7 linked regions of the Oryzias latipes genome follow. The protein of the gene in region 6 interacts with the protein of the main gene of each other region in a pairwise test. Links are inferred from orthologs where the notes say so. Each region holds a gene or a part of one and is shown on either strand. Other genes may lie near its edges.

What was found.
Region 1: the proteins of disc1 (region 6) and kinesin-like protein KIF3C interact in binary tests that used the Homo sapiens proteins (3 or more experiments, as listed by UniProt). The link is inferred for Oryzias latipes from reciprocal best matches to the Homo sapiens genes DISC1 and KIF3C.
Region 2: the proteins of disc1 (region 6) and agtpbp1 interact in a two-hybrid assay, tested with the Homo sapiens proteins (2 studies listed by BioGRID and IntAct). The link is inferred for Oryzias latipes from reciprocal best matches to the Homo sapiens genes DISC1 and AGTPBP1.
Region 3: the proteins of disc1 (region 6) and dihydropyrimidinase-related protein 3 interact in a two-hybrid assay, tested with the Homo sapiens proteins (2 studies listed by BioGRID and IntAct). The link is inferred for Oryzias latipes from reciprocal best matches to the Homo sapiens genes DISC1 and DPYSL3.
Region 4: the proteins of disc1 (region 6) and ppp4r1 interact in a two-hybrid assay, tested with the Homo sapiens proteins (2 studies listed by BioGRID and IntAct). The link is inferred for Oryzias latipes from reciprocal best matches to the Homo sapiens genes DISC1 and PPP4R1.
Region 5: the proteins of disc1 (region 6) and ccdc88a interact in a two-hybrid assay, tested with the Homo sapiens proteins (2 studies listed by BioGRID and IntAct). The link is inferred for Oryzias latipes from reciprocal best matches to the Homo sapiens genes DISC1 and CCDC88A.
Region 7: the proteins of disc1 (region 6) and eif3h interact in binary tests that used the Homo sapiens proteins (3 or more experiments, as listed by UniProt). The link is inferred for Oryzias latipes from reciprocal best matches to the Homo sapiens genes DISC1 and EIF3H.

The regions. Positions count from the first base shown.
Region 1 is NC_019882.2:17,758,973-17,762,472, forward strand, and holds part of kinesin-like protein KIF3C, read left to right. Parts: intron 1-9; coding exon 10-132; intron 133-2,318; coding exon 2,319-2,437; intron 2,438-3,405; coding exon 3,406-3,500.
Region 2 is NC_019867.2:10,962,960-10,966,910, reverse strand, and holds the start of agtpbp1 (cytosolic carboxypeptidase 1), read left to right. Parts: upstream 1-1,151; 5' UTR 1,152-1,316; intron 1,317-2,690; 5' UTR 2,691-2,717; coding exon 2,718-2,749; intron 2,750-3,265; coding exon 3,266-3,396; intron 3,397-3,951. UniProt on the Homo sapiens protein: Metallocarboxypeptidase that mediates protein deglutamylation of tubulin and non-tubulin target proteins.
Region 3 is NC_019872.2:5,631,665-5,635,164, forward strand, and holds part of dihydropyrimidinase-related protein 3, read left to right. Parts: intron 1-502; coding exon 503-644; intron 645-2,056; coding exon 2,057-2,227; intron 2,228-3,500.
Region 4 is NC_019863.2:13,845,844-13,849,343, forward strand, and holds part of ppp4r1 (serine/threonine-protein phosphatase 4 regulatory subunit 1), read left to right. Parts: intron 1-1,286; coding exon 1,287-1,393; intron 1,394-1,477; coding exon 1,478-1,620; intron 1,621-1,740; coding exon 1,741-1,887; intron 1,888-2,124; coding exon 2,125-2,232; intron 2,233-2,314; coding exon 2,315-2,380; intron 2,381-2,594; coding exon 2,595-2,753; intron 2,754-3,500. UniProt on the Homo sapiens protein: Regulatory subunit of serine/threonine-protein phosphatase 4. May play a role in regulation of cell division in renal glomeruli. The PPP4C-PPP4R1 PP4 complex may play a role in dephosphorylation and regulation of HDAC3.
Region 5 is NC_019873.2:15,842,598-15,846,097, forward strand, and holds part of ccdc88a (girdin), read right to left. Parts: intron 2,857-3,500; coding exon 2,719-2,856; intron 2,053-2,718; coding exon 1,869-2,052; intron 1,776-1,868; coding exon 1,645-1,775; intron 1,515-1,644; coding exon 1,221-1,514; intron 904-1,220; coding exon 721-903; intron 268-720; coding exon 1-267. UniProt on the Homo sapiens protein: Bifunctional modulator of guanine nucleotide-binding proteins (G proteins). Acts as a non-receptor guanine nucleotide exchange factor which binds to and activates guanine nucleotide-binding protein G(i) alpha subunits.
Region 6 is NC_019873.2:28,418,275-28,421,774, forward strand, and holds part of disc1 (disrupted in schizophrenia 1 protein), read left to right. Parts: intron 1-1,046; coding exon 1,047-1,915; intron 1,916-2,960; coding exon 2,961-3,030; intron 3,031-3,500. UniProt on the Homo sapiens protein: Involved in the regulation of multiple aspects of embryonic and adult neurogenesis. Required for neural progenitor proliferation in the ventrical/subventrical zone during embryonic brain development and in the adult dentate gyrus of the hippocampus.
Region 7 is NC_019874.2:13,853,647-13,857,146, reverse strand, and holds part of eif3h (eukaryotic translation initiation factor 3 subunit H), read left to right. Parts: intron 1-905; coding exon 906-1,055; intron 1,056-3,500.

The sequences.
Region 1 (3,500 bases), on a different chromosome or scaffold from region 6:
TGTTGTCAGACTCGCAAGGAGAGGGAAATCCAGCAGCAGATGCTGGTCCAGGATGAGGAGACGGTGGAGCTCAGGGAGACGTTCACGTCTCTACAACAGGAAGTTGAGGCAAAGACCAAAAAGCTCAAGAAGGTGGGTCTACTAGCTTTCAAAATAAGTGTGAAGAAACTGGCTCTGCTAGATTGGACTGTATTGATAAAATTATTAGGTCCGTACCCTGTCAATTTCTTGAACACAGAAATGAATGAATAATGACTCAGAGACAATACTTAGCTTCAGTGAAGATTTACTCCGCACAAAAGGCACAGATTTGTACAAAGGGTTACAGACAGATGAACAGGTTACTGCATCAAAGTCCGAACAACGGAGCTCAAAGTCTGAACAAAGAAAACAGGAAAATGGGCTTGGTATATAAGTCCTGCATTTGCATATTCAGAACATCATCCGATGGATGGTGGTGTGAAAAATCCACCCCCAGTTGCAGGCTAGATGTTCGAAGGTCAGAGAGCTTAAAGTGTCAGATCTCTCTGAGGTTATCACAGACATTTAGCAGAGCGCACACACCAGCACACACAAAGATGGAAGGGGAGGATGCTGAAGGAATGTTACGAGACAATAGTCTTGATTGTGCCTTGTAATATAATTTTGAGATGATAATACATAGTGAATCAAAGTTTAAACCATCAGTGTAATAAAAAGTAAAAGTGAGTTTCTAACTATTCTGTTTCTAATTATTCCTAACAATAAAGTAACCTATTTTTTAGAAAAATTACATTCACATTAGATGACAATATTTACATTTACTTTAAATGACCAGTTTCACATAAATTGAACCAAAATGAAGAAGCAGTGTGTGGAAAAGTATTTACTTCCTATGGCTGAGTCCTTGGCTTTATCTCCATTTCATATTATTTTGGAAAAGTTGTGATCTTCGTTTACATAAAGAGTATTTATTCCTAGCAGTGTGAAAAAAGACTAAAATACTGAATGAAAGACCCACTCAGTTGAAAATTGTGTTTTTGGTGTTTATCTTGTTCTTGTGGCATTTTTCTCATGATGGAGGAGATATTTAAAGATAATTAGGCCTAAAATAGCATTTGTGAGTATTTCTTTGTTCAAATCTTGTGAATAAGGATCAGATATTTTCAGAACCAGAATCAGCAGACAACAAAATACTGTTTGAATAAGATAGTATTTGCTACGTAGACAATACTCTCGGCGGGCCACAAAAAAAGAATAAATAGATCCACGTGCGTCTTTGTTTTTATGGTCTGTAAAGCTATGATGAAAATTACAGGCCTCTCCCATCTTTTTAAGTGGGAGAACTTGCACAATCGGTGACTGACTAAATACTTTTTTTCCCCACTGTATGGCAACATAAAAAGTAAAAATAGGGGAAAAAACAGTGAACAAGATCTTTTTCAAAAAGTTATATATCTGCTTTGTTTACTTATGGTCAGCTTAAAATAGTTTGTACAAGAGGCAGCAATGCTAAAATACTAATTTAATACTGAAATACTAATTTAATGCTCAGTTCGCTGGAGAAACTTGAAGATATTTAGAAGACAAAATTAAGTGACCACCACACAAAGCATTATAACAGAAAATGTACGTCTTTCACAGAACATTTTAGGATCATCTATGAAAACTCAACTTTGACAAAACTGTTTTAAAAAATCTAATTACACAATGTTTATTTAAAATACCTAAGTAAAATTCAAAATTTGCTTTAAAAACTTTAAGAGATTTGTAAAGTAGAAGACTAAGGCAAATACTGTATCAAAGTCTGAAAATTTACCATGATAAATTTGTGTTCTAACATATTTCAGACAAAAAAATCTAAATTACACATCTGTTTGACTCCTTTGAGGTCATATGTGTGAGTCCAACAGATGTGTACACATCCTTTCACTCGACTCAGTGACTCGCGTTGTGGTTTGTTTACATGAAAATCTCTATTTTCAGTGTTTTTGTGTTTAAAATATTTGCAGAATGTCGTCCACATTGCAATAAAATGCATCTTCACTGCAGTTTCGGGGTTAAAAGTCAGGCTGAGCGGCTGATTTTCAGGCTGAAGTTATACAGAACAATGTGGGGGCTAAGGGGTGCAGCAGAGAAGTAGAGGAATGAACCAAATTGAGGGTGGGGGGCGGACTTGGCGTGCTCCCATTGGCTGGCCAGCTCTCCAGATACCAGTGCCCCCAGTGCTGTTGCTATGGGCAACCAAGCTGCTGCAATCTGGAGACGAGTGCACCAGCAGATACCCCAAACTGAGAAGCTTGGCTCCTCTCAGCCGCTGACTGTTTGTGTTCCTGCAGCTGTACTCCAAGCTGCAGTGCATCAAGGCGGAAATCAAGGACATGAACGACGAGCATGTGGGGAGCCGGCAGGAGCTGGAGCAGACTCAAAACGAGCTGACCAGAGAGCTCAAGTTCAAGTGAGTCACAACAGCGTCCCGAGGAAGTGCAGGCACCAGCACGTCTCAGCTTCTCGGTTTATCTTCTTCCACCTGCTCTCTCACCTCACACACAGCAGTGTAAATCTGTTCTGTGCAGAGCAGGGGTCCCCAAATCCAGGCCTTGAGGGCCGGTGTCCTGTTTTCCAGAATCACTGCCCTATTTGCTGCTGATTACCTGGATCAGGGGTGTTTAGCCAACAAGGAGCTTCAGTAGCCGGTGGGTTAGAAAACATGTCGGACACTGGCCTGGATTTGGGGGACCCCTGGTGTGGAGGATATTTCTAAACATGAATCCCTCCCAACAACTGCATACCACTGAATGAACTCCTTTTGGTATCTACAGAGGACATTTTGGGCTTTTCAATCATACCAAACGTGAAGGGGTGGGGCTATGGGCTGCCTTTTGTAAAGTGACAAAGTCAGATATTAACAGCAAAACATTCATTCATCTCTTAAACCTGTTTTGTCCCTTTCGGGGTCCCGTAGCCGCTGGAGCCACTCTTGGGCGAAGGCAGGGGACAGTCCACATAAATCACACACTCACACCTAGGAACAATTTAGGGTAATCAATGAACCCCGGAGAAAACCAACGCATGCAGGGAGAGAAACATGCAACGTCCCCCATTCTGTTTCAGGTCCCCCTGGCGGGACTTGAACCGGGGACATTCTTGCTGTGAGGCAAGAGTGCTAACCAGCAATATTTTTGGTTATTTAGCCTGTTTTAGAAGAAAAAAACCAGGTTTCATTTTTCCGATACATATTTTCACATTTTCATTCACGTATTTATAAATGTTACATTCATCAACTAACATTTAGTACCGTAAGCAAACTCAATATTTAGTTTATTCTATTCTTCATAATTCATCTGTTTGTCTCTATGCTGCTCTTTGGTTTGATATTTTTAGGCTGCTGTCTCGCCACATTAAAGCTGCATCATGTCTGCACAGGTATCTCATCATTGAGAATTTTATTCCTCCGGAGGAGAAGAATAAGATCATGAACAGGCTGACCTTCGACCCAGAGGAGGATCAGTGGAATTTCC
Region 2 (3,951 bases), on a different chromosome or scaffold from region 6:
TTACCCATTGCACAGATTTTTAAGGTTATTTAATCTTTGTCATTGTGTGTGTTGTGACAGGAATCAATCTGTAAACTATTTTGAAAACTTTCTGGTGGCGAAGACTTTTTCTGACCAAGGTAGCTTTTATTAAAGGTCATAGGATGCCCAAAACCAGAACTATTCAGACCCTAAATAAACATGCAAACAGTTGGATTTTTGACAAGCAGACGAACCTTAAACTTATTATTTTCTATGCACTGCGACTAGAACAAAAGGTAATCAATAAACTTTATTGATTTATGAGGCTTTATTAAGTTTCAATACTACGCCAGTGAAATTCACTGTTATCAGCCAATCAATATGCAATAAATATACATTAAAATTATAGTGAATAACTTCATATGACTTAAAGTAAGTTGGTTAAGAAGCAATATCTTCTAAGAACTGACAAACAGATCATGATGATCATGCACTGACTCAGTCAGAAATTAATAACACAAACAATGCGTTACTCGTGTTTTCTGTTGTCATTAACACCTCTGTGGTATTAGGTGCGGCTATAAAAAAAACGAAAAACAAACCAAAAAAAAGTTGGAAAAACCCACAATCGATTGACAGATGTTAAAAGGCACAACACTCTGTTAGCTAGGTTCAGCATAAATGAATCTGTTAGCTTAACATTCGTGTGCAAACACAAGCTAATGTTGACCACATAAGACATACCTCCTAAAAAAACAATAGTGGATACCATAATATATTACTAAATTGCAATAAAAATAAAAACACAAGAAGTATCTTCAATAAGTCAAGAAATTATTGTAAACACACATACCTTAAATTATGTGGCTTATGAAGAGCACTCCGAAGACCATTGAGAATGGCGCATGCATTATGCGTCATAGGGTTGTGTCAGTCTGGGAAATGTAGTCTAATGGAAATATAAAATATAGATCATTTAGCAAACCAATATACACATAGAAATCAGAGCAGTCTATATATCTCTATTAGTGTATTGTATTAACTACTTAGTCTTTATTTTTCAGTAAAAAAAGAGAAAGTAATTTCAATGGTCTTTTCTCAAATGCGTTCTGCAAAGGTTGCGATGTATAAATAAAGTTAGACAAAATGTTCGAAGCGCTTTACCGGAAGTAGCCCGTTCTTGCTCGTGCGCTTTACAAATCGCCACAGATCCGGATAATGACGAGCCAGCCTGACAGTTTACTCATCACAACATTACCAACAGGGCGTTTCAAGCAATGTTTAGAAGCAGTAGCTGCAACACTTATCTTGGAATGGGTCCACCCTGATCGTAACAGCATTTCCCTTTCATTCAGGTTCGTTCCGTTGTGATATTTTTAAGCACAATATTGCGTAGACGATACATTTCTTTGGCTAAGGTTGCTTTGTGCTCTATATTTAGCTTTAGCCTAAAAGACCCGTTAGCCTGCGGCCGTAATGACTGTCTAGCAGGTGCAGTGTCCACTAGCCTTTTCTTGATCATCTGATTTAAAAGTATAATATGTATATTAAAAAAAAAAATAGTAACAATGAAGCATATGATATCTGAGTTTTTTTGTTTGTTTGTAATAGCATCATATAGTTAGTTAACGGACAGGAATGTTTTTAATGCATTTTTGGAATGTGGAAAAAGAGCTGCAATTCTAGATACCACTTTAGAGTTCAAATCTGTGCTGGAAAAGCTTTCTAACTGATTGTACATCAGCGTGGCCTTATCTTGGAGCTGAACCTGTACCCCAACAGCTCACACAAATAAAAGGGTGACCTGCCCAGTGCTACTAGATGAGTAGTCTGTTGCCCTCTTAGTCAGCAAGCGTCTGAAAAGTCTGAATCGTTTCTTGTAAGGTTAAACATATTTATGGTAAATTTGTGACATTTGTATCCAAAAATTATACACAACAGGGCCATGAAAAGAAGACACAAACTGGGTTGTCTGCCTCATAATCTTATCTCTCCTGATAGTTGCTCTTGTTTTGACTGTCTGCTCTAATCTTAATAGCTATACTACTATAAACTACTGATATTGTTTTGTGGCAAAATGACAGGACGTTTATTAATGCATGCTTTCTATTCCAAACCTGATCTTAAGTTATAGCTCGTTTTCATCTGGACATCCGAGACCTTGGACGAGCTCATTGTTATAAAGTCAGTCATGAAGCACTCTTTGTGTGAGATTAGCTCCTTTCCTGCACTGTCAACATTAGCCATCTGGCGGGTGCAGTTTCCATACTGTAAAATAGCCTGGCTACATAATTTGTGTCTGTGCACAGATGGGAAACTTGCAGGAAAAAAACAACAACAATATTTTATATATCCTTTTGTCTCTGTGTTTTGCCTTTATCACCTAACCATTCAATGTAACAACATCAAATTATAGGTATATAACTACAACCAAAATGTTAATATATCTTTGTAAGAAATTTTTTTGCAGGAAACCTCAAATGTAGGAAAAGATTACTTTTGCATACCCAATTACACACAGGTCACCAAATATCTGAAGCATATTTATAGATCATTGCATTCAAAGCTTGGGACAGTTAAGCTTTACTGCCAGCAGGTTTAGGCTTAGTCAGATGTCTGGCTATGGCCGGAGTGCGGTTTGGAACTTCTTTAACAAGTGGGGGGTAAAAAAAAAAGGTTAACAAGGCTTGTTTGTGAATGCTAAAGATTGTGTTGTCTTTCTCGTACAGGCAACATGACATTTTGAGCTGGTGAAAATGAACAAACCCAAGATGGCCTCGGAAAAAGGGTGAGTTGATGCATACAGGCACATGGAGGTGTGAGTGTTTGTGCATATTAAAAGATATACCCACTTTTTTGACCTATCTTTTTCTCTATATAAGGGCTTGATCCTTTCTGCTCAGCTAGGTACTGGCAGAGTTTGTATTCTCTGTCTAGCGCTTGCCCTTGTCGTAACAACTGACCCGTAATCTCCTGTTTCCACTGGACTGTCAGGAAGCTAATATTATTAGCAAAGGATGGGTCACCGAACCAGAAATAGTGAAGCCATGGGACCTTAACCTTAGCAGTCAGTTTACAAGAAACAAATCTTTTAAGTTAGACTTCATTTCTTTTTGCACACAATTGATTCATTGACCTTCCAGTCCCTGTGTTTATGGGGCTGTCTGAAAATGAGGGGGCCTCACACCCCTCATCGAATAAAAGCAATCCGTCCTTTTCTGGACACGAGGTGCATTCCCTCTCTAGCTATGCTATTATATAACTTCTTATGAAGATAATTGTGTCTAAATGCTCATTCTTCCAGCGTTCCCAGTAACTCCAGTCTTCTCACGCTTCTGGACCAAATAGAGAGGATGAATGGGGAGGCCATGCTCAGGGATACTGAACTGGCCAGACATGTCACGGCAAAAATCCTTCATCTCATCCAGACACAAGGTGAGAACATGAGCAGAAATACTAAGGTGCATGTGAGGAGATTCACAAAAAGTAAAAAAAAAAAAAAATTCCTATCGATTGGAATGAAGTTAAATTGTGGTCTCAACTTAAGCTTATGTAAAAGAAATATTGATAAGAGGACTTTATTTTGTAGTTCTAAAAAGTATTTGCAGTATTAAAATATATTTTAAGTATTAAAATGTATTAGTATTTTATTCTCTCTTGTTTTCTGGCAATGGTGTTATAGAGGGTTTATATTACGGTAAATGTAGAATATTTTCTACAAATGAAATGAAGATCTGATCAATTGGCAGTATTTCTGATTTGTGAAATTTTAGCTTGTTTATTCATTTCAGAAATAAATTACAAAATCATACATTTATTATTTGTCTTTTACATTTTTTTTACTGTTAAAAATAAAAACTTACGAACAACATTTTTTCTAAGGCTGAAAAATGTGGTTTAATAAAGACAAAAGTATATATATATATATATATATATATATATATATATATATATATATATATATATATATATATATATATATATATATAT
Region 3 (3,500 bases), on a different chromosome or scaffold from region 6:
TTAAGTTGATGATGCAATTGATTTCAGTTTGATACTTGCATTATTGCTAAACTTTATGTTATGGGGAAATATACTTCCATGCAGAACTGTAGACATAACCTCATAAGTAAAGAAAACTTCTATCAGAATTGTTTTGACTTAGCATAACATATATTATTAAAATATTTATATCTCAACTTTTTGCACAAATTTTAATTCTATTTCTTTTTTTTAATAGGACTCATGGAAATGCATTGTGATTTACTGATTTGCAAAAAAATTCTGTTCGCGCTCTTCATCTGGAAATAGAGTTATTGTGTCATTCAGGAAACATTCATAATGTTTTGTCCTGGAAGAACAAACTTTGGCAGGCTGCTTGCTCCAGCTTCTTTCTGTTCTTTTCTGCTTGACTTCTCCAGCTGAATGAAATAAACACATTCCCTCATGTTGGCAGAGTTTTATTCACATACACAAACTTTTCAGCGTTACACTAACTCCATCTTTCTTTGACGTTTTCCTACAGCGGAGACCTGAGCGTGACTGGAAGCGCTCACTGCACCTTCAGCGTGGCCCAGAAGGCCATTGGCAAAGATGACTTCACTCAGATCCCTGAAGGTGTTAATGGTGTGGAGGAAAGGATGGCTCTCATCTGGGACAAAGCAGTGGTGAGGGGTAGTCGGGTTATCGCTTTTCAGTTTTTTAAACTTTTCTATACTGATGACTTAAAGTCCCATGCAAATCATCATTTGGTCTTTTAAATTACGATTATGCTGTTTTTTGGCAAAATAAAAAAAAATCTGTTTTCTAGGACATGGTTCATTAGAAATTTAAATTCTGGGTGCGACTGCTGGTCTGGAGCAACCCCCACCCCCTTCTCCTCCCCATTACTGAGCTTTCTGTTTCCCTCACTAGCTTACAGCCCCTCACAATCCCAGCCTAACATTACCAGTGCAACAAAAATAGCGAGCAAGATCGGCACTATCAACCGTTTTGAGCCTGATGCCAGCTCGGATGAGGAAAACAAAGACGGACATAGATCTTTTTGTCTACAAGTGGATACATTAGAAAGGCAGTGGCCCACCGACTGTAGCACCTGCATCACTGCTACTGTTTTTCTTCAAACAGCTTGTTTTCATCTGCTCCTGATTAACAAGGATTTGAATAAAGAAATACTCATAAGAATTTTAAGCTTAAAATTGGGTTTCTATGTCCTCCATCATTAGAAAAATGCCACAAGAACATGTTAAAAACACCAAAAAACATCAGAGTAGGTCTTTAATAGATAGATATACATGCCTTTATTTGTAAATGGTAATACTTGTATAACACTTTCTACCTTCCTCGAAGGCCCAAAGTGCTTTACAGTCACAAACCCATTCACTTAGTCACACACACATTCACACACTGATGGCGGCACCGCTGCCGAACACTGGCGCCAACCTTCCACCAGAGGCAAGTGGAAGGTTGTTTTGTTGTCACTGTCGACCTAGACTATGAACTTAAAATTTAACACAAAAATGAAACTTAAAATAACTTAATAGAAAATAAATCAATCATGAATATACAGTCAAGCTGAAAATTGTTCATACCCCCAGTAAAATCTGGAGATGTTCCTTTTTGTTTAAATGTAAACTATTGCCAGGGGAAAAAACAACTTTCTGGATGAATAAAAATGAACTTCCAGACTCTGTCTCTCAGGGACATGAATAATTACAGGATGAATTGTATTGGCAGTATTTCTCCTTTGCAGCAAGTCTTGTCTTGGTAACAGAGAGAAATCTAGAATGTCAAATACAGACAGTTTCTCATGGTGGTGCATTGATGGTGTTATTTTGGGAGATATATATTTTGGGATGTTTTGCAGAACGTCTCTTTTATAGTTTGCAGTAATTTTTGTCCCCTGAATAAACTGTCTGCAAATGTACGTTGGTGACTTTGTTGTTCTCTCTTCTCCACTGATCCCTCCATCTGTTACTATTTTAGCTGAAGCATTAATAAATATTAATAGGGAAATGTTTTTGAGTTTTCTTTTTACTTGTGAGTACTAATCTTTTAAATAGTCTTGTTCTGCTTCTAGACCACAGGTAAAATGGATGAAAACATGTTTGTGGCCATCACCAGCACCAATGCCGCCAAGATCCTGAATCTGTACCCTCGCAAGGGTCGGATTGCTGTGGGCTCCGATGCCGACCTGATCATCTGGGACACAGACTCTGTTCGTACAATCACTGCCAAGACTCACAATTCGGTATGTACTGCAGAGCTTTTGTTTCCTTAGAGGGCTAAAGAATCTCTTACATCCTGCATTTTTGCACACTCGACTCTCATTTAGCTCTTTTTTATTTCAACTGGAACTGTACATCCAAGCATATTCACTGGAAAAACTAATACAATGAAATAGGATTTAGCATGTTTGACAAAAAGACAATGACTGTCTTGTGTGGTGGGACTTTGTGACATAAATTCCTTCAAGTGTTAGTCAAAAAAGAAACAGACAGTGAAGGAGTAAGTGCACATTTTTGAGCATCTTCCAGATCACTCTTAGTTCCGCTGAACGGAAACAAAGTCTCACTGGATGCTCACTGCTAATTCAAATCACACTGCACTCATCCTATGACCTGCTCTGCTCAGTGGAAAAAAAATCCCAAACCGCTTAGCTATGATTTAGAAACATATGGATGACTCAAACAAAGGAGTTTATCCATAGAACCTGCTGTCAGATCTAAACATTTTCCCTAATGCTCTTTCAGCTGAACTCCAGCATTTTTCCTGCAAGATTCATTTTATTGCAGACACTTCATGCAAATTTTCCAGTCAAGGATCTTGTTCAAAGAATATTTGACAATCAAGCTTTGATTTGGTTACATTTAGATAAACTCTCAAATTAAGTTAAAATAAATGACTTTTGCTTAGGTCTGTTTATCAAAAACACTTGCTGGTTTTCTTTCAAACTACAAACCTACTCACAATTTAAAGTCAGATAAAGTTTCTACAGAGATTTTCTTTCCCATGAAGAGAGTTGTAAACTGTCAGGGACCCATTACCTTAAAAAAAGAAAGCTTCTGATGACCTAATAATTCCAACTGAGTAGTTTTTATGACTTCATGCATCCAGAGTTACATCCTAAAAGTTGAAGTTGCATTCAAAGTATGTGAAACAAAAGGTTCTTCCCACTGCAGATGTGTTTTGTCTTCACTCCTCGTGTCTTGAGACTCATGCTGCACCACAGGAGTTCAGTGCACCTGGTATTTGCTAGAATGACATGACAATTGCACAACACAAGCTGCTCGGCTGCAAAGGAGAAGCTAGAGTTTAATGTTTGTTAAAAGCTAAAATATCCTGAAATGACACCAGAGGGGAGCAAAGTGGAAAATTTGATGTTAATAAAGTAAATCACTTTCTTCTTTTTGCATTTTCAGACGTGTAAGCTAAACTGACTAATAATATTCTTTTTTTAAATGTGGAGAACATCTACAGAGGCTCTTGTATGATGATCTCACCCTTTAATTTCCTGCTAGTTT
Region 4 (3,500 bases), on a different chromosome or scaffold from region 6:
TGGCTGGTTTGTAATAGAGGAATTGATTGACATCCTCTGAACTGTTGATGATGGATTCCACAGTACCAATGTGTTTTGAGAAAGATAAATGACATAAATGTACATTTGACCAAAGCTAACATTTTTTTCTTCCTTATGTAAATGATAAATGAAACCATAGATAGATAAAAACTTGACATTAATTTTCTACCTGCTGTGTTGCTGACATGTCCTGTTGGTGATTCATGTTGAAAGAATCGTGTCACACCTTGGAAGTCTTGGCAACAAAGAAGTTGTTGCTCAGCAACAATTACCGGTAGCCGAAAGATCTTTTTGCTTTGATTTAGCAACAATTACGGAAGTTTATTTTTAAAGTAAAATTAAAAAGGACCAGACAGATTATTAGTTCTACAAATTTTGGTAGAAAACAACTGTCTTTACATTTTAAATCTCAAATAATATATGATATTGATTGGTTTATTGATGTCTTGTCAACTATTTATCTGTAAATGTAAATTGTATTGACTTAAATGGTTAGTTGTATTATGAAGTATGTTATCAATATGTTAATATCTTACTTTTTTCAAACGTATTTTTTGTAATGTTGGTCTGTTTCGTTTTATCGCCTAATGTCTGAACTTGTCTTACAGTCATCAGATTGCACGGTTGTCATGCTAGCATAGTTTGTAATGAGTTCTGCAGAGTTGACTGCAGTTCCACAGACATTTACACTCCGCCAGGCTCCATACTAGGCCTGCACAATGTATCGCATATTTGTCGTTATCGCAATATCAAGCTGTGCAATATGCATATCGCAAAAGGCGGCAAAAATCGCAATAAATGGTTACATTAAATATGCTAAAACAATCTTATGGATGCTTGAAGTATTTCACGAAACAAACAAATCCCTTTTTGTATTTGACCAATCGAATGGACTCCTTTACATCATAGACCAATCGGATGGAGTTCTATCATGTTAAATGTTCGTTTGTAGAACGATGTAGATGTGGGTCATTTGGAATGCAATTTTTAAACTGTTGCAGTGAAATGAAAATGATGTTTTTGGTTATTTTGCTACATGTTCATATAGATCGTCATTGCAATATTAATCACTAATATTGCATATTGCAAGTTTTCCTCATATCGTGCAGCCCTACTCCATACTAACAGTTTCTTTCGTTTTTTTTGGGCTGGTCATTTTTCAGTTAACATACTTGATGTTCTTGACAGTTCTGTCAGTGCTTTTTAAATTAGTGGCTTGTATGCATTGGCAGGCGTTTCATTAACTTCAAGCTTTTGCTTTCTAGGCAAATCGTGGCTCGCGGCCTACTTGATGTGCTTCGAGAGTTCAGTGAGAATGAAAATGACTTTATCAGTGTTATGGAGACTGTTGCCAGAATGTCAGAGGATGGAGGTAGATGCTTTTACGTTCTTGTGATGGTCTTTAGCTGGGGTTTGCTCGTGTTCCCTTTCCTCATGAACTGTCATGTGTTCTCAGAGCCCACAGTGCGAGCTGAGCTAATGGAGCAGGTTCCTAACATCGCCATGTTTTTGCACGAGAGTCGGCCAAACTTCCCAGCCGCTTTTTCAAGATATTTGGTACCTATTGTGGTCCGATATCTAACTGATCCAAATAACCAGGTAGGGATTATCGGTAGTCTGTTTTGTATTTTTTTATAGTTGAAATAAATGATCTTTTGGAGCAGTTGAATATTTTTCTCTCTTTTATTTGCATGAACTTGCTTCCTTCATGTTTTTCAGGTGCGTAAAACAAGTCAGGCAGCCCTGCTTGTTCTGTTGGAGCAGGGCCTAATCTCCAAAGCCGACATGGAGACCAAAGTTTGTCCAGTTCTTCTTGACCTGACAGAACCCGCCAGTGATGATGACTACAAAATTGAGGCAGTTGCTGTAAGAATCCCCACAGCTATTCATATATGTGATGCTCAGATTTCTTACTTTGTTGTTTAATTATCATTGCCATGTATTCACTATTAAAAGATCCAAAATGCATTCATCGCTGGTTCTAGTTTCATGTGCTTACAGTGCTCTCTGCTGTAAGAGCATTTGTGCTGGTTTCAGTGTTTAGGTGCAGCACAGTCTGAAGCTGTGATGGCACAACATCATCTGCATATTTCGTTGTTACAGATCTTGTGTAAAGTTGTAACTATGTTGAGCAAAGACACAGTGGAGCATCTGTTGCTGCCCCGTTTTTGTGACCTGTGCAGTGATGGTAGACTCTTTCAAGTGCGGAAGGTAAGTCTTCACCACAACACACTTTTCAGTATCTGCATTGTTTTCTAAATTCTTTTTTTTTGTTTTTTCTGGTGTGTTACAGGTGTGTGCGGCTAACTTTGGTGAGTTTTGTTCCATTGTTGGACAGGAAGCAACAGAAAAACTACTGGTGAGACTAAATAACTTTTTTTTTCCCCATTTGATTTTAACATAATAGCTTTCTGTTTTATTTATTTTTTTATTATCAGAGATGTTTTAATAAATCATCTTTAACACTTGTTTTTTAAAGCTGCTAAAAGGTCAATTCATGTTTGAGGTTTCCATTAGGAAGTTGCTTCTTACTTTGTCCTCTGATGGGGGTTCTGCTTTTGTCCTAAATATAGATGCCCAAGTTCTTCGAGCTATGTTCAGACAGCCTTTGGGGCATAAGGAAAGCTTGCGCCGAGTGCTTCATGATGGTTTCCAATTCCACTTCTCCAGAAGTCCGACGATCGAAATTGTCGCCTTTGTTCATCAACCTCATTAGTGACCAGTCCCGCTGGGTAAGGTGCACTCAAAACAAAAAAAGTTTCTCTCATGTTAGCTAGTAAACTGTATGGACCTTTTTAGCATCCCCTGACATAAAAATAACCACTCTGAATAATTTAAAACTACAGTTGTTGTTGTTAGTTTTTCTCTTGTGTATAAATTTTCAGGGATTTAACTTACTTAGTAAAAAGGGCCACAAATGTGTTGTTTGGGACTTGTGGCTAAAAAAGTATTAAATTAAAGATTGACATGATGGAGGACATATGTAAAGAAAATTAAGCTTAAAATTTCATGTCTAAATATTTGTTTATTCAAATCGTTGTGAATCAGAAGCAGGCACAAAAATGTCATTGGGTGTGACATAGAAGCTACTGCAGCAGGCCGCAAGCTCTCTGCTCTGCTCCATTCTGATGCATATGCTTGTTGACAGACAGATCCTTGTTTTCCTCGTCTGAGCTACTATCTGCTCCAACTGTACGACTGGAAAACTCCAATATTGCTTGCCTTTTTTGTTGCACCACTAATGTTAGGTTGGGGTTGTGTGGGACTGTAAGCTAGTGGGAGAACATATAAATAGATGTGTAATGGGAAGGGGGTGGGCTTTCTCTACACCAACGGTCCCTCCCACAACTCAGAGGTTGATATGTAACGGATTACTGATGCTCTAAAGAAACTATGTCCTAAAAAAATGACACATTTTTTAAATTTCATCTAAAACAGTCATAATTCTAATTAAAAGACCACTGAGAACACTTCTAAAA
Region 5 (3,500 bases), about 13 Mb from region 6:
CATCAGTGTCTTCTTATCAATATTGGTCAGTTTGACCAGCTCCTTGTTCTCTTTCTCCAGCTCTTTGACTCTTGTGCAGGAGTCCTTGAAGAAAATCATCTCCTTGCCCATGGTTCGATTCTCTTTTTCAAGAGAGGAGATTCTGTGGTTGCAGTCTTCCAACTTGGAATCCCGGATCTCAGCCTGCTGCCTCAGCCGCTTGTTCTCCTTCTCCAGAAGCTTTTTGTCTTTCTCCAGCTGGGAGCTTTCCTGTTCCAGATTCTTGTTCTGGGGAAGGACGGCATGTAATGAAGCACAGATGGGTAAAACAGCATCGGATGGGATTACTTATGGTCTAAATGGCTTGTACATGGATGTTTGGCTAAAGTGAGCAAGGTTTAAATCAAAAGCCAAAAAACCCCAAAATAATCTGGGATAATCCATCTCTGCAGGGAAAAATTGGCTGTAAAATCATCAAAATGAAGTTAAACTGATTTGCCACTTCTGCTAACACTTCTTAAATATTATCTTCTTAACTTTTTCTTTTGTTTAAGATTTGTTTTTAAATGATCATCAAAGCAGTTTTTAGTCTGTCTCAACTTTAATTACTAAACTGCTCTCATTATCCTCACAATAAAACCATTCAGAAGAAAAAAACAACACAAGTTGTCAAGCAAAACTACATGTTTCCGTAAGGCAGAAGAATAAGACATTTTTTTCCTTTTCTGAACGTAAACTTACCTCTTGTTCGAGCTGCTCAAGTCGTTTGCTGGAGATCTTGAGTTCCTCCAGGTTTCGCTGGAGCGTCTGATTCTCCGTTTCCACGTCTTGCAGTTCAGCCTCCAGCTGCTGGATCTTCTTGCTGCTGTTCTCTAGAGCTTTCTGCAGGCGCTGGTTCTCCGTATCTAGGCCCTGGTAGCTCACCTGGGAGGAGAACAGCCAGATTAGAAAATAAAGTTCTCCATGGTCTACTTGTGCTGGTCCCTAGTGGCCCCATATTCCAGAAGCAGTTTAGTGCTACCTCAGTGGAAATATTTCTAAATGGAAATTTTTCACAATGTTTAGTAGAGAAAATAAACCCTTATTTTGGTAAGCATAACCCAGGAAGACCACAGCATCTCTTTAGACGTATGAATTAGACACACTTTATTTTTAGGCCCCTTTTTGTTATTTACACAGCTGTATTTAAGCAGGTCTGAGGACTCCGTCAGCAAAAGCACCTCTTGTCTGGCTTGGCTTACCTCTAACCTCTCAGTCTTCTTAGAAGAGGCTTTGAGCAGCTCCAAGTTGCGCTTCAGCTGGCTCTTCTCGCTTTCCAGCTCCCTGTTCTCGGCTTCAAGCTGAGCAGCTTTGGCCCCCGCTGACCGCAGGCTCTCAGCTGAGCGCCGGAGCTCCAGGTTTTCCTGTTCCAACTGAGAGTTTTCCTTTTCCAGAGCCTCTAGCTGGAAAGCTACGTTCTTCAGAGCATCCAGTTTCTTTTTGAGACGGCGGCCCTCAGCTTCTAGTTCAGTGTTCTCCTTCTCCAAAGATGATACCTACAAGTACCGGTAATCATCTTCAAGCCAAATAATTTAGACTGCTGAATGATTATATTATAAACTTTTTTTTAATTACTGTCACACATCTAATGACAAAAACAGGAAAAAGAAATATTAAAAACCAGACCTTTTCACAGGTGATTCCAAGGCTGGCAACTTTTTTTAGAAGGCTCTCGTTGTCCCTCTCCAGTTTCTGGATCTGAATCTCCAGCTCCTCTGCTCTTTCACCTTTGTCTTTCATCATTTCAAGATCCTTACCTGCATAAAAAAATGTCTTAGTCTCACAAAACAAAAAAACTGTTTTTGAATTATTGCTGAAAGTATTCCTCAGACAGACTAGATATCACTCACGTAGCTGCTTCCTTTCAAACTCTATTTTATTCAGTTTGGCTGTCGTCTCGCAGATTGACTCATGAAGAACTCGATTTTCTTTCTCAACATCCTTGACCCGGGCCTCCGCTCCGACCTGGGAGCGCTGACGCAGGGATGACATAGTCTGGCTCAGGTGCTTGTTTTCCTGCTCCAAACCCTTCAGCTGGAGAGCAGACAGCAGAGGTTTAAATCATCACCTGAAGCTGTGTTTAAACAAGCAGCTGCGTGTTGAAGGAAACTGATTCACGTGACTACTTGTACTTCATAACACGCACAATGAAAGAGAGCAGAAGGGATTTTTTTTAGATCAGCTTCATAACAATAAACCAGGAGGTTATCTCAGATCTCCATGCGGTGACAACCAGCCTGATGGCAACTCCTGAAGTAATCCGAGAGGGCAGATCTGTTTTCTTTCTCTCTCAAGCTCATCAAAGCCGGATTTAACAAATCAGATGGTTAGACTAATCAAAGGTGTCAGATTTGGGTCTAACAGCTACAAAGTCTCCACAGACACAAAGTGAGCGGCTGCCTCTGGGCCACAGACTGCTTCACAGTCAATAAAACATTAATGACAGCAAACACTAGATAATACGCTGAGCCAAAAGCAAATCAATAACAAGACTTTTCTCAGTTAAACTCAAACTTCAATAAATTACACTGAGCTTTGAGTACAAATGTTTGTATATAATCAGTTATGAAAAAATGAATTTTGGATCATCGTGGAGGGTGTCCTATATTTGGCAAATACTTTTTAAAAAGTACTGATATAATGAGCATAACTTTGATAATCTATGAATTACAATTTCTGAATAAATAGGTGTGTTTGTACCTGTCTCTCAGAGTTTTCTCTTAGAGTTTCTAGAGTCTTCTCTAGTAAAGCTTTCTCCTTCATCAGGTCCATGCTGAGCGTCTCTGCGCTCCGGAGAGACTCTCTATCTGCCATCAGCTCACTCTCCAGTCGCTCCAGCTGTAAACAAAAAAAATAGATAATTTTAAAATAAAGTGAAAAATAAATGAATAAATAAAATAAATAAATTAAAATAAAATGATCAAAATTATAACAGAATTATAACTGTGGAACAGTTGTTTATTTTATTATTAAAGTTGGGAATTGTTTCCTCCAGTTGCAGAAGGCTCAAAGAACCTTAGATGAACTTGCAGAGTCATCTATTTTTCACGGTTTTACAATCTTATAGAAGGAATCAAATTTTAATACAAAAACAGAACCCGTTTCATTATTAAGTCTGCAGGAAATAAAATCTAGATATTTTCAGGATTTAATGAGATCGTTTCTATGCCACGAGTTTCCAGTTAGCTTTCATTCTCTAATTTGCTTCAGCTTGAGTTCAAGTCACTGAGAAATAAATTCCCCACTCTTTGTTGGTGACAAAAACTTCGATTTATTTTGCTCAGGGAACACAGGAGAGTCTTATGTCTCTGAAAATAGCTGGGAGACTTTCTTAGCGAGGGGCGTTTGAGTGTCGAAGACAGGAAAAGAGAAGACAGTGCAGGGGTGACTGGATTTACAGCTTTGCTTTTATCCTCCTATCCCCCTCTCTGTCCTCCCTCTCCTTTCTCCTCTTTTATTGCTGTAGTCAGCGTGAGACAAAG
Region 6 (3,500 bases):
TATCAGTCAGGATTTGGGCCAGAAGTTGATTGACAGCATGCCCAGTGGGAGTACAGAGGTCCTGAAAAGAAGGGCCAAGACTGCAAATACTGACTCTTTGCATAAATGTCATGGAATTGTCCATAAAAGCCTTTGAAATGTATGAAGTGCTTGGAATTCTATTAACTCTGAGAAAACTAAAATTTGTGTCCATGACTGTAGACTAAATAGAACAATGCCGACTGACATTCTGAAAAAAATATGTAAGGAGATTTGTGGGGTAAAATTAGAATTTATCAATAGGTCAAAATGTTTCCACCGGAAGAAAAAGAAGGTGTAAACAAAATATTAAAGGTGGGAGTGATGTTGTTTGCCTGTTACCTGCCCCCGCCGCCCCCTATTACCCCCTTTGACCCACCCTCACTGGCTGAACGGTTGCTGTACGCCCCTCAATCTCCCCCTTTTGCCTCCACCACCCTGGTCAGAGCTGCATGGGACAAATTCGCGTTTTCTTTCAAAATGGCGGCTTATCTGTTAGTTTTATCTCCGTAGCAACCATTTACGTTTTTGGTCGCCTAGGGTTGACAAACAGGTCTGTGTAATATTTTTTGAAGTATCAGCAAAAGTACTTTTTCGGATTTCCTTGGCAACTGAAGTTTTTGGTTAACCACGCCCACATTCCTCATATATTCGTAAGGTATTAAATATTGTTTCGTTCAGCTTTAGCCAATGACCATTTGTCTAAAATCTTTAGAATATTTCGGTAAAAAATATGCGATCAACAGGGGAACGCCAAATTTGTGACCTCGCCACGCTAACACAAACTTTAAAACCAACATTTTTTCCCCCGTGAAGCTTCCCGATGACGCTCAAGGAGTTGGGAGGTGATGGCTGCTTGTTTGTTCCAGCTTCTTGAAGAAATTTGCTATTACTTGACTGAAATGCTTTTTTCTTACTGTCTTTTATTAAACTCTCCTTTCATTGCAGATCCAGCGTTTCCCGCCCGTGAGCTCACTCTTCATCTTCCTCCTGTCGCGGAGCTTAACGCCTAATCTCTGTATCAACAGGTGGCAGAGCGTTGGCGACAGCTGGCAGCTCTGGGCGAAAGAGGCATCACCGAAAGCCAGGCTACATGAGAGGAGAGCAGTCCAGGCTGCTGAGCTCTGCAGGTACCGAGGAGGAAGAGGAGGAGGAGGAGGAGGAGGAGGAAGAGGCGATAAGCGGCTGCTTTGGGAATGGAAACTGTGGATGCAGCACCGCCGTCACCCATGGCCCTCCAGCTCAAAGACTGAGTCCAGCTCCTGCTTTAATGGTTAATAAACCAACGGGTTTGAGGAGTGAGGGCGTCCTCGGCCCGGCTGCAGACATCCATCCTGCTCCAGCAACATCCAACCATCTGGGTCTGACCTCAGAGCCTCATGATGAGCTCAGCTTAAGGCTGAGGCCGGCTCCCCAGACCTCAGCAGAAGACTCTTTCACGTCCAGTTTCAGTTTCATTCAGCAATCGCTCAGCTCCAGTCAGAGGACCGGTTCTTCAGCTGCACCACTACAGGAACCAGAACCACCTACCAAAGCCCCCGAAGGACCACAACCCAAACCTGACTCCCAGCAGAACTTCTTAAAGCTCTCGCTTCCTGTCCACTCTTCACCCGGCCACGCACAGAAGGAGGACCTGCCGTCAGGAGGGAGGCTCTGGCGGGAAAGTCAGTGTTACGGTAAAGAGGAGACCTCCCACCTTCTGGACTGCGAGCCCCGTCCTCTGGACGTGGAGGTCACCTCCTCGCTGTCGGTGGATTCAGACACGGCCTCAGCCTCCTCTTTCACCTCCGGTTACGAGAGCGCCACAGCGGGCTTGGAGTCGGGCTGGGACGGCGTGGTGAAGAAGTACGAGGGCGTGCTGCAGGCCTGCCTCCGAAACAACCGCGCCTACACAAAGGTGGGCATAGCGGATCCTCTTGAGGGGGGCAGAGACTTCAAACACATTCACTTTAAAGTGCTGTCATTGCTGAGGGAGAACTCATGTTCTGTAGACTGTTTCAGATCATTAAATCAAATAAATCATGGCGCTAAAGTGCGCTAAAGAGAAAAAGCAATTACATTTAAAGCCGCGAGTGGTGTAGTATGGTTTAGCCCTCCCTCATTGGCTGAGTGGCTGCTACAAGCCCCTCCCTCTCCTTTCATGCCTCTGCCAGCCTAGTCAAACTTGCATGTGAGAAGAAGAAAAAAGCACTTTTTTTCAAAAATGGCGGCTTTTCTATTTGTTTCATCTCCATAGCAACCATTTAGTTATTTGATCGTCCGGGGGGGAGGAACAGGTCGATGTGCATTTTAGAAGGATCGCTAAAAGTAAATTTTTGGGTTTCCTTGGCAACAGAGGTATTTTGTTAGCCACGCCCACATTCCTGATATGTTTGTATCGTATGTCATATAGTTTTGTTCAGCTCAGCGAAAACTTTTCTTCAAAGATGCAGTAAATAGGAAAAATTGCAGAAACAATCTGGTCCTTCAGTCCAGAACGGCTGTGGGACGCAGATAGTTAAAGTTTTGAATCTTTCGGTCCGTGATGGCTCAGGTCAGATGGATGTGAAGGTCATGACAACATTTAGAAACAACCACCTTAAATATCTTGTTCAAAGCTAAGCCCGACAGGAAATGGAATGATGAGCAACAAAGGTCATGGTCTGGCTTTCAAAATAAAACACAAACGTTTATAAAATTAAAGGTTTGGACCATTTGTCATTAATTAAACACATTTAAGTTATTTTCAAAATCTGTGTTAAAAACTGGAAGAAAGTTAAAAAAAAAATCACACTTTTGATTTAAAAAAAAAGAGAATGGAGCAGAGCATAAAGTTATGTTCATAAGTTAAAATCTCCAAAAGCAGCAGAACTTTCTGACAGAATGACGGTCATTGTACTTGTCCCGTTCCCTGTGGGCGGCGTCCTGTGGGCTGATGTCTCCGTCTCTTCTCTCCGCCTCAGATCGAGTCCATGATGTTGAAGCTGCAGAGGCTCCAGCAGAAAGCCGTTCTGGACGACGACTACGACGCAGGTGAACGCCAAACACAACGTTTTAACCCTCTGAATCAAGCGTTTTATGAGGAACGTTTTGCTTGCATGCCATTATTTCACCATTGCGTGTGTTTATAGATTTTCCCATTAAAGTTGTCGGAGTGGAAGGAAGTGTTTGCAGAGCGATTATGACAGAAATCCCAGCTGTCAAAGGACCGTCAAGATTCAAACATTCATCTGTTTAACACTCGTGATCTTTGGGCTCTACTGCGTTATTTAACAACATGGCACAATCCAAACATGTTACATATGATAAAAGACCTGCAGCTAAAAACGGTTTTTGAACCAACCTCACTGAGGCTTGCAGGCGTTTGTTTGAACGGGTCGTCTGAGGCCACGTGTCACTCCGGGTCAGGTCAGGACTGTGACTGGGTCAGAGCAACACTTTGATCCGGAGCGCTGTCATGATCCACTTCCAGCCAAACATCAGTCTCTAAATGGTTTTTGTTT
Region 7 (3,500 bases), on a different chromosome or scaffold from region 6:
ATTTCTGAGTATTTTTTTATTTAAATCCTTGGGAATCAGGCACAGACACAAAAAACGCTGTTTGAAAAAGTTTTAGTTGCATAGAAAATACACTGGGCGGGCCACAAGCTTCCTGCCCTTCTGATGCATCCACTGGCAGACGACTAGATCCATGTACATCTTTATTTTCCTCGTCTGAGTTGGCATCTGGCTCAAAACTGTATGACTGGATTGCTCCGATATTTCTCTGCATTTTTGTTGCACTGGTAATTTTAGATTGGGAGTGTGAGGAGCTGCAAGCTTGCAGGAGAGCGTGTTAACAGAGAGCTCAGTTATAGGTGACAGGAAGTGGGGGCGGGGTTGGTCCACGCTAAAAGAACAACTCAGAGGTGAATTTCTAATAAACTCTTGCAGCTCTGCAGAAACATTCCTAGAAAATGACACAGGTTTTTTGATTTTGGCTTAAAACGGCATAATCATAATTCAAAGACCACCGGGAATGCTTTTACAATAGATCAAAAGATGATTGGAGTGGGACTTTAACTGTTGCACCACTCTGCCTGTGTTTTTCTGAACTTTACTTTCATCTTTTTTTTAATTGATTTAACCTAATTTCTTTCATTTTCACCACTGACACTCATGTGTTCTCATTCTAGCTGCTTCATTTAAGCCATCTGTCCTCTTGGAAAGAAACAACTCATTTTCTGTTTTTGAAGGGAACACGTCCTCTGAAAGTGGACTGTTATGTTGAGCTGTCTAACCAGATTTTTCCAGTGTTGATGGAGAAGAATGAAAGATCCATTAAAATACATTAACCGACAGATAAACAGAATCCAGGATCTGAATTCATAATCTGTTAGTGCTGGGTGACCCATGTTAGGATCACAACCATCAGCTTCATTTTCCTTTTCTCTCTGTGTTTACAGCTTGAAGAAGGCCAGCATTGGCTTTGAGAACATGTTTGAGGAGGTGCCCATCGTCATCAAAAACTCCCACCTCATCAACGTGCTGATGTGGGAGCTGGAAGACAAGTCCACCGTTGCAGACAAGCACGAACTGCTCAACCTCTCCAGCAGGTCAGACATAACCTCGTGCACCATTTTACCCAATTAATTTATCTTTGTAGATGAATTTAAATCAGTACATGATACTTTCCTCATCAGGAGGATTTTTGGAAGTTTCTTATTTTTTACTTGATTCTGTCACCTACTGATTTTTAAGCAGCTGTGATGATTCACATAAAGTAAAAAGGCTCCCATTTTAAAAAAAAAAGAAGAAAAGAAGACAACATTCATATTTTTAGAAGGTCTTTTGTCAGATTCACTCAACTTTCTCCATAAACGCAGATACATGATCTCATTACAGTTTTCTTGAAAGCAAAACTCAGAAAAACATAACAGACAGCATACCAGGAAAAGAATTTTAATCTGCTGCATCAACCGCACAAATTTAAGTCCTGATTCTCGCATACTTTAAGTGAAGGCTACACTTTTGTGCATTTTTTGAAAATACAAAATAAAGTCTCCTTTGATATGTTCTTTCCCCCCAAAATCTAGATTCTTTTTTAGACCATTTCCTTCCTGTCCTACATACATTTCCATCGGTGGTGCCTGAAGTCATTTCCTCCAATATTTCCATGGGTCTATACTTCAGTAGACAACCAATGGTCCAAGAAAAGAAAAATGCTTTCATATACTGAGTTGTCTAAGCTAAAGGTCAGGCTAATTCCTTAAAAGAAAAGAAAAAAGAAAGAAATTGTGGTGCCTTGAAATATTTGCAGAATGCTTAGAAAACATTCCTACAACTGACGAAATTTTATTTTAATCAGTAATTAGAAAATTTCCAAACATGGGATGTTCATGGAAAAACTAAAATATTGTTACAATTTATTACTCGTAGTTACTACAAGATTGCATAAAAATGGCTGTTTACCTGCTTGAAATCCACATCATGGTGAGTCTGGAAGCCCTGCTGGCTGCCTTCACTGGTGCGACTTAAAGCTACTGCTGAATTAAAATTGATTTGACATTAGGGAACTGTTGGGCATTAATCTCTGTCTTCTGCAAAGTTCTTAAAGCCACCTGATGAGAACAGAGACAGAAAAAATGATTGATGCCTGCAGCTTTATCCCTACCTCTGTCTTTTTCCTATTTTATAAACACAAAACAAAAACTATGAAAAATCACTCATGTACACATGCTCATGCAGTACACTGATAATGCATGCTTTTTTAATTTAATTCAGCTAACAAAACTAAGAGGTACTGGATCCAAATTCTGTCTATGAAAAGTAATTTCTCACAAAAGCTGTTTTGGATCTCCTGTGTTTGCCTATTTGTCATTTAATGCAGAGCTGACCAGCACTAATGTGCAGCGTCTGGGTCACATTCAGATCACTTTTGCCACATTTAATATGCGCCTGATGGTATCCACGAGGCCAAGGTCAGAATCGGCGGATCTGCAGTGCCATAGAAACAACTGCAACTAGCTGGATAAAATAAACTCTGCTGTCTCAGTTAATGAAGGAATGTGTCAGTTAGTGCCACGCGCTGGGCTTTTATATTAGCTTTAAATGGATTTAGAGGAAAATGTAGTTTGGTTGTAGAAATAATTCCTATAAAGTCTTGCTTCTGCAGACGACACTCGTGGCACCTATAAATGCTTTAAGCAAACATTTAAATGTCACACGTGCTTTTTATTTTCAGAAACGTGTTCACAAATAGGATATCCTGTCAAACTGCTGCGCATGATAGGAACAAAGATCAGCCCTGCACATCATCTCAAACTGAGGCTCTTTAAGTCGTGCATTTAAATCTCAGATGCTCTCAGCATCAGCCTCTGGAGCATTTATCAGCAATCATTTATGGAGATAAACTGCTGCAAGTGGAGCAACAGCAGTGGAGCTGCTAATCAAAAAGCTTCCCAGGGGCAGGTGTGAGAAATTAGCACAATAAGCACAGAAAATGCTGATTTAGACACGGAGGTGCCGGTTCTTTTCATCTACATTCTTCTATGTATGTAAACCGTTACTTAAATGAAAAGCACAAGAGAGCAGCTTCCTAGGATGTATGGCTAACCAAGCTGAGCACCAACAAAGTCATTTATTATGAGTTGTCAGATAGACTTGCTTATCTTTGATGTTATTCATTTTTCCGGTATGACTGCTATGAAGTTGAAACATAGCTTTTGATACTGCTCAAATGGGGGTGTATCATAATTGTCTTCCCCTCGGCCCGACTGACACGACTGCCCCTGCAGTGTCTTGCCAGATGAAATTGTTTCCTGAAGTTGTCAGATAGCTGCACGGCTCCGTCCTTGAAAGGAATTGTAATGTCCGTCTTTCTGCATCTTCTGCTGACAGCCCCACCCTTTTCCTGCACACTTCCACTCTTTCACAAAAAGAAAAAAAAGTCAACGATAATGGGTTTTATTCACTGTTTTTCCTTTTGTCTCATTTTCCAATCTGCAGCCCCATTTGTCAATGTCATCTATGTGAAAAGGCTCAGTGAGTGCAGTTTCACT